Mytilus edulis: one gene and its partner. The protein of the gene in region 1 interacts with the protein of each later gene in a biochemical or structural test. Links are inferred from orthologs where the notes say so. Each region holds a gene or a part of one and is shown in the gene's direction. Other genes may lie near its edges. The genes, in order: DNA polymerase zeta catalytic subunit-like and mitotic spindle assembly checkpoint protein MAD2A-like.

Region 1 (3,938 bases):
CAATATACCGTTGTTTGTAAGGACACTTATGCAGTTTAGGTATCCAATACAGTGATGGAAGATCCAGTTCATCATCTTTGGTTGAAATTTCAAAGGAACATAGAACAGACCTATGATTATCCAGGAATTCCTCCTTTGGTAAGTGTCGTGAGGGTATATGTTGGGTTTCCAAGTGAATTGTCAATACCTAATTCGTTTATCAAGCAGTTGTAGCAGACAGAGTTATTAGTTAATTTTTAGCTCCCTTTGGTAAAACTCTAAATTTCATATTTGATGTATTTCATTGTTAATTAATTTACATGAAGCTTATTAAGGATATATTTGTTAAATTAAATAGCTTTTTCTATTTTAATTCATTGGTTAAAGATATTTATTTATATTATAAAGTTTAATATTTGCATCGTTGCAAATTCTTTGGTTACCTTCTGTAAGAAATTTATATATTTTATATAAAAAGTTTTAGATTCTTCATTTGAACTCTGGGATGATTGACATTTAGTTGAACCATGGACATTCCAACCAAGATTCATGAGGATAGTGCATTTGCTACATGCCTATAGTACGGGTTAATTTGAAGTGTTTAATGCTCCATTTCTACACGTTTGGCTTTACATAATAAAAGTTGTACTTTGTTGAATAAATTATATATTGTTTTCAGTTTTTGGTTTTCATTTACTTAGATATATTATAGCGCATCACTTTTGGCATCAGTCGTTTTCCGCACACATCAGTTTACAAACTAGAATTAGCTGTGGTCCGCATACCCGAATCTTAGGCAAAATTGTTCCTGCTACACAGTTAATGTACAATGTAATGAGTTTTACACACAAAAACGATGTTGTTTGGGGCTTTATCTGCGGGGACAACAACATATTTGTCGTGAAGGTGTTAAGTGTTTTGCAACATTAGGGTCTCTAAAGATTGACGTAGCATGGGCATTGATTGAACCATTCAGTTTCTTAATTCTGATTTGTATCAACGACCTCACTGCCTTAATCCATTCGGAAAGAGTGTCTACGTCTTCCTTCTCACGCTTATCCCATTGCCTGGCATAGTTCTCGACTGAATCCATCAAAATTTTAAAATTGTATTTCCAATTGATGGATTTCGACTCACGATATTTTGGACCTTTCGTTAACACATTTTGTAGGGAAGTGTTATTAACAATGTTAAAACATGCATAACACAGCTCACATTCTCATATATCTACATTCATAAATTTATAAATGTCATTTCGACTAAACGACGCCATGTAATTGTTTGTTTTGTGCCTCTCCCGTCTAAACCACCTATTTAAAAAGAAGAGGTGGAAATAGAACCAGAAGATCTTCCCAATGAAAAAAAAAACAAAAAAAGAATGTCTTCTGGTTCATTACTGAAGAACAAAAGAACACGCCCCTGTTAATTGTAAATGGGAACGTCTAAACACCGCTCAGGCCGACCTCCTGGGTGCACCCAGGACCCTGTATAGTCATCGTATCTGCACACAGGATGGATGTATATATATTCGTTATACGCTTCTTATTTTCGAGTTAATTTTTGGTAGAATTTGAAATCGAACTTAGATAGAAATAATGAGGACACATGTCACTGATTACACAACCATTGACAACTACTGATCACTACTGAGCCGGGTTTCATACCGAAGTCCGGGTCCGGAGTCCGGTCCGGTCCGGTCCGGGTTTCAGTACGTACCACAAGTTTTCACATTGACACGGATAGACACGAGATGGCGCTGCATATAACAATCACAATCAGCATTCGATGGTCAGTAATCTCATAAATTAAACAACACACAAATCATTTCCAGAAGCATGCATCATTTTTCATACTATTGTTTATTTATTTGAATAGAATGCAGACCGTCACACCAAGACATATGCACGGTACTGTTAATCCGTGACATATGTACTTATGCCTGCTTTGTGGATTTTTCAGAAAGCTTTGACACTGGTATCAAGTTTATAAATTTACCATCTGCGGGAGTAGGTACTTCATTATAAAAATAACACATAGCTGAGGGGGGTGATAGAGCTGATTGGTAGCCCGAGAGGTACCTCGAGAAAGCATTGTCAACCGTGGCAAAGCCAATGTTGACTGCTTTTTCGAAGGGTACCAAACTGCTCTATCACCACAGGAATCAGAAGTTCTATCAATAAAATTCTGTAAATAATAGGAGAAGCTCTATTTATAGTCGACTTTACAGAATTTAATTGATAGAACTACGAGAAGCTCTATTGATAGTCGATTTTATTATTTAAAGAATTTTATTGATAGAACTTCCGATTCCTGAATCCTGTGCTATCACACTCTCAGCTCTGTGTTTATTTACATGTAATTTATTATACTGAATGTCCTATCATTATTGTCTTTTACAGATGAACTTTTTAAAAGTATTTTCTATGACATGACACATAACAACTTACACGTATTAGAAGTGAAGCAAGATGTTTTATTTTTTTATTTTGACAGTCAAATGATGCAGCTTAACGCTATTCCCGGGTGACCCTAGAATCTGTCCTACTTGAAGTATTGACATCACAAAACAATAACTTTTCCATTGTGGCATCATTTGTTTTGTATTATGACGTCACATTTTTACGGGAACCTTTGAGATATCCAGTAATGGCTGAGAAATAGCAATAAGGTGTATAGAATCTGAGCCAAAACGTAGAAATTACTCATTGTCTTTAATAACTTGATGTAAATTCAATTCATTCTTCTTTAAAATGTAAATTTTTGATTGGTCTGGATGAGAGGGTGACATTAAAAAATATTGTCACCAGCTCAGTCATATACTTGATAGAGTAATTTAACACCCTCGTATTAGCCAATCAAAATATGGCATTAAAGTGAGGTATAATAATTTATAATTATTAAACACATGTATATTTTGTATCAATCAAGTAAATCTTGTGTTAAGAATTAATCCAGACAAGAGTTAAATGTAAACAAGGGGACAATTTAGTCTAATCTGTAATATTCAAGTAAATTATGTTCATTGGGATTGCCAACCTTGGAAAGAATATAGTAGGGATAGAAATGATATGATACAAGTGTTGCATGGTAACTGGATGATTTGAAGTCTGCGTTAAATGTTGACAATTGGAACCCGAATAAATGTTTATGTTAATGTCAACTGCACACACCTAAATAAGTTTTTTTTATAAGTATAATATATATAAATATATTATTATGAGACTATTATGCCATAAGAAATTGCATTACGACAATCCAAGAAGAGGGGTTAGTAGAAGCCATTGGCTTATTTAAGTAAACGGAGATCCCGAGATAAAGATATAATATATATAAAGTATAAATGACTTGCCAGAGTATTTACAAAAAAGTGGAGACCCTGTGAATTGCTTATTATACACAGACGATTTTGTCCTTAAGGTTCATGTAGGGTATAAACTTTTTTTTTTTTAACAAAGGATTTCTCTACTTTTTTCTAAAAATAAACTTAATCCTATACTTAATAGAAAAGTACAATAAAAATGTGGGGTTACGTTTAATCATGTAAGCCCACAATCTGCCTTCAAAAGAAGTATGCAGTTTTGTCAAGGTACTTTTTTTCTGTTGAACTAATTGGAGCAGAAAACATGGATAAGGTAAAAAAGATCTATATTACAAAAATTGCTAAAATTTTACAATTATAATTTAGTTTTAGTACAGCTTATATGAAGAAAAAAAAAAATAGGTCACCATTGAGTTGAGAAAGATTTTCAATATTAATGCAAAAAAAGGCATTATTTCACCAAAGGGAGATAATTTGGAGCTTTTTCAATGATATAAACATTTTAAAAATCATCTGGGGCCAAAATGAATTGATTTTTTTGGTTGATTTAAATGATTTTTGTACCATATCATAATATAAATTTACAACTAATACTGTAATAAGTTAAATTTGAAATAAAAAAAATATGTTTAAATTTTTG
Region 2 (3,938 bases), on another chromosome or scaffold:
CACCTTCAAAGCGACACAGGATTGAGCAAGAACGTATTAACTTCTAATTCTATTTCACTATTCCACCAAACAATCTAGAGACATTTACACTCACATGAAAAAAAGTTCCAAGGCAATATTATTTACCTACGGAAACATGTTTAACCCAAAACGCCCCAGCCAATTTTAAAATACCATAGCTGAATAATGATCCCCAGTCAGTGTAAGCTCTAGATAGTCTATATTCAAAGTCTAAGGTACGAACCATTTGATTTGAGGAGACAGTCTAAGATATTTGTGTAGAAAAAAAATAACTCTGATTTTTGCCTTGAACAAAAATTCTGGCTGTATCTGGATTGACAACAATAATCATGTCCACTGTTTTTGCTAAAAAAAAATAAAAAATTTCCAACAGAATTATTTAGCATTAAATGAACATGATGAATAAAAACGGGCATTTCTTTGGGGGCAGGGGTTTGCATGTCTGAACGGAATGTCTGTTTCGCCGAACTGATATATTAAATACTTTTTTCAAGATCAGACTGCAACCTGCCTGATGGGTGTGGCCTTTATGTCTCCATTTGTCGACCGTCATTCATAAATTCGTTGTCATTTCAGACTCATTCTTAGCCTTTGGTTGATTTGGAACCCCTCACTTCCCTTAATTTTGTTGGGTGAAACATATTAACCAAACTTTGGATAAGAAATTGCTTGTTTGTCTTTTTTAACTTGTACCGGCCGTATTGTAAATTTCATTGAATACCCCGGCGTATATCTTGTTTACAACAAGAAATCTGTGAAGTTACACGCCAGTAACCGTTTGAAAAGTACTTATTACACTTATTTTATGTTTTTAGCCCCAAAAAGGTCCCAAAAATTTTTCGCCTCGCTCCGTTCGGCCATCTTTCAAAACTTCGGCCCCCTTTCCAAAATCCTGGATCCGCCCCTGAAAATCATAATCAAAAATCAAAAAAATCAAAAGCGAAGTAATAAAAAATTAACGTCAAGTTTTGTACTTTTAAAGTTTCATCACGGATTTGTAATGTTTGACTAAACTGTGACCGGCCTTCACTTCGCAGGTCTTTTCACCCGTTTTTTATTTTAAAATCATAATTAAAATTTAAAAAAATCAAACTTTAAAAAAGCGAAATAATAAAAACTATACGTCAAAAGAGGGTATCTGTGAAGTGGAGGGTTTAGTCAGGGACTTTCTATACTAGTATAGAAAGTCCCTGGTTTAGTCAAACATTTCAAAACCTACATGTACAACTTTTTGAGTACGGAAATTCGATCAAAACTGATCCCGTCACCGAGCAGAATTGTATACATAAATTTAGCGGGAAATAGAAATATACACAAATCATGGCCGCAACAGCTACACAAAATGCAATCACATTGAAAGGATCGACAGAAATAGTTTCCGAGTTCTTTTGTAAATGTTTCTTTTAATAACAACAATTTGCATTGTTTTTACACAATGTCTATCTTTGAACTTTCAGGAACTAATGTGTTTAACCCCAGCCCCTTTTTTTTTCAGAACGCATGCCAAGTTAAATTATTATTATTGAAGTATGACTGTATGAAGTTTAAATGCAATGCCATTGGGTAGTTCGATAATCATTTATCGTATAAAAATACACATGCACCCTCTATGAAGGTCATCACGTCAAAAACAAAAGGTCAGAATTCACACCACACAGTCACACTCACACAATTATTTTGAGTAAAAACAATTTCTGGTGGCGAAATTATTCAAACACTGTAGTCTAAATAATCATGATAATTATCCAAAATATTACAATGTCTTAAAAGGTTACACATCATAGTATGACATATGACAGCTCATTTGTTTGACGGCCCATTGTTCAGAAAAATGTTAAAAATGTACATATAGACTCGTCCACTGGAAAACCCATTCATGAGTTGTCATGCGTTTTAGTTTTTGGTATCCAAATAGGAGAATTTGTTTTATCCATTAAACAAGAAAATTCAAAATTGTGACTTACTTATCTTGACCTTTTCATCCACTGTGTATCATTGGTACGCGCGTGATCAATTTTGACCTGACACAGTAAGAAAAATCTTTTGTTTCGTTTACATAATATTAATGTGTACTTCAAATACTTGTCAGAGCAGTTGGGGTTAGTCTCGCCCGATTTGATTCTGTATTCATTGAAACTCTTTTTTTGATAGGAGGCCACTGTCATGTGCGTAATAAGTATACCTGTTTCAATAATTGGCATTGACATCTTTCTTACATATGTTATTTTAAATATTTTATTCAGATAAGAAGCGTGTATGGTGTAAAGCGGACCAAATAAATCCTTCTGTACAGTGGACAGTTTATCCCCGTACACAAAAACTTTATTTTCATGTGTTTTTGATAAAAATTGCTAACGTCAAAACTGCTGACAGAACTTGTTTTGAAATGATCAATTTTCAAATTAAAAAAAAATGACAATTATTATCATCCAGTGATTAAAAAGCACCATTATTGATTATTTGACGTGTGAAGAAATATACTATAATAGTGAATAGTCGTAATCCAATAGGTTACAGACAGTTGTAGACTTCAAATACAACCTTAAAAATTACGATAGTGCAAGTCCATCAAATTTGTTGCATCAATGCAACATTATTTTATCTGATAATGGGCAAATAATAACTCAAACTTTTTAAAGTTATTTTTTATTGTTAAATATTTCACAAACAAATCCCCCCAACATTCTGTAAAGGTTTCTGGAATTTTAATTATTTTATTACAACCCATTTAGATATGTAACAGACACTGGTGCACTTTTAAATGGAAGATGTTGATTGGAAAAAACACAAAATCATATTTCCACAAATATGCAATTTTTTCGTAAATCCACGAAAATTGATACTTTCGAAAATAAAAGAATGCACAGTACACTGAATGGATAAATTTGATCTATGACACAATGTAATAAAATTAATAAAATAAATAGTGGGGTGAGATGTGAAACAAAATCAGAAAGAAAACTTTAACCTTTGACTGTGACTCATGTTAAACAAAATGCTGTTAAAATAAAATAAAGTACATCAAGTTCATGTACACAGATACAAAAATAATTTTGTCATGTTTGTTGAAAGGAAAAGAAATAATTTTGTTCATTGTATTTTCTTTATTTGAATTCTGATTTGGATTACAATAGTCCTAGCCTTACATAATGTACATTAAACTTTTATGGCAACAAGGCATGTATTGGTAGATTTAATGTGTAGTCATTATACATGTATTCTTCATTGTAATGCTGCATTCACACATAATTTGAATTTGATTCGCATTAACTAATTCCCATTAGTTTGATACGCATTCAAATCGTTTTACGTCCAAATCTAAATTCGAATTGCAATGGGGGTCAAAATTCACTTTACTGCCTGAATGACGTTAACTTTTAATTCGTATTAACAAAAACGCATTTCTAATGCGAATTGGATAATGCGATTCAACCAATTCGAATCAATTGGAATTATAATTTAAAGGAGAATGTATGAACGCAGTTACGTATCAAATTCATTTGAATTAAATGAACATGTCAACGAGGCGTATACTTCTTATGTGACTCATTTTGAGGCAAATTTTGTATTAGGTTTATTGGGTTGTAGTAAAATGTAGAAAAGGTTTATTGGCCTGTAGTAAAATGTAGAAATTCTTACAGCCCCAAATAAATTAAATTTTATAAGCATGGGTTACTGGACCTGTGTCCAAGCGTAAACTACAATGTAAAGACAAGAAAATTATTCACTCCCTTATACAATGTACATGCTAAATGATAATACTGTAACAAAATACAGATTCCTCAACATGTCAAATATACATGTACAAATGTAAAGGCCCCCTTATATAATGTAAGAAAAGCAACGTTTTACATCATACATATCATTGCATATAGGAAGATGTGGTATGAGTGCTAATGAGACAACTCTCCATCCAA

Evidence for each region.
Region 2: the proteins of DNA polymerase zeta catalytic subunit-like (region 1) and mitotic spindle assembly checkpoint protein MAD2A-like form a complex in vitro, tested with the Homo sapiens proteins (2 studies listed by BioGRID). The link is inferred for Mytilus edulis from reciprocal best matches to the Homo sapiens genes REV3L and MAD2L1.

The regions. Positions count from the first base shown.
Region 1 is NC_092353.1:64,606,982-64,610,919, reverse strand, and holds the start of DNA polymerase zeta catalytic subunit-like, read left to right. Parts: upstream 1-1,660; 5' UTR 1,661-1,767; intron 1,768-3,938. UniProt on the Homo sapiens protein: Catalytic subunit of the DNA polymerase zeta complex, an error-prone polymerase specialized in translesion DNA synthesis (TLS). Lacks an intrinsic 3'-5' exonuclease activity and thus has no proofreading function.
Region 2 is NC_092352.1:71,758,740-71,762,677, reverse strand, and holds the start of mitotic spindle assembly checkpoint protein MAD2A-like, read left to right. Parts: upstream 1-1,292; 5' UTR 1,293-1,341; coding exon 1,342-1,411; intron 1,412-3,938. UniProt on the Homo sapiens protein: Component of the spindle-assembly checkpoint that prevents the onset of anaphase until all chromosomes are properly aligned at the metaphase plate.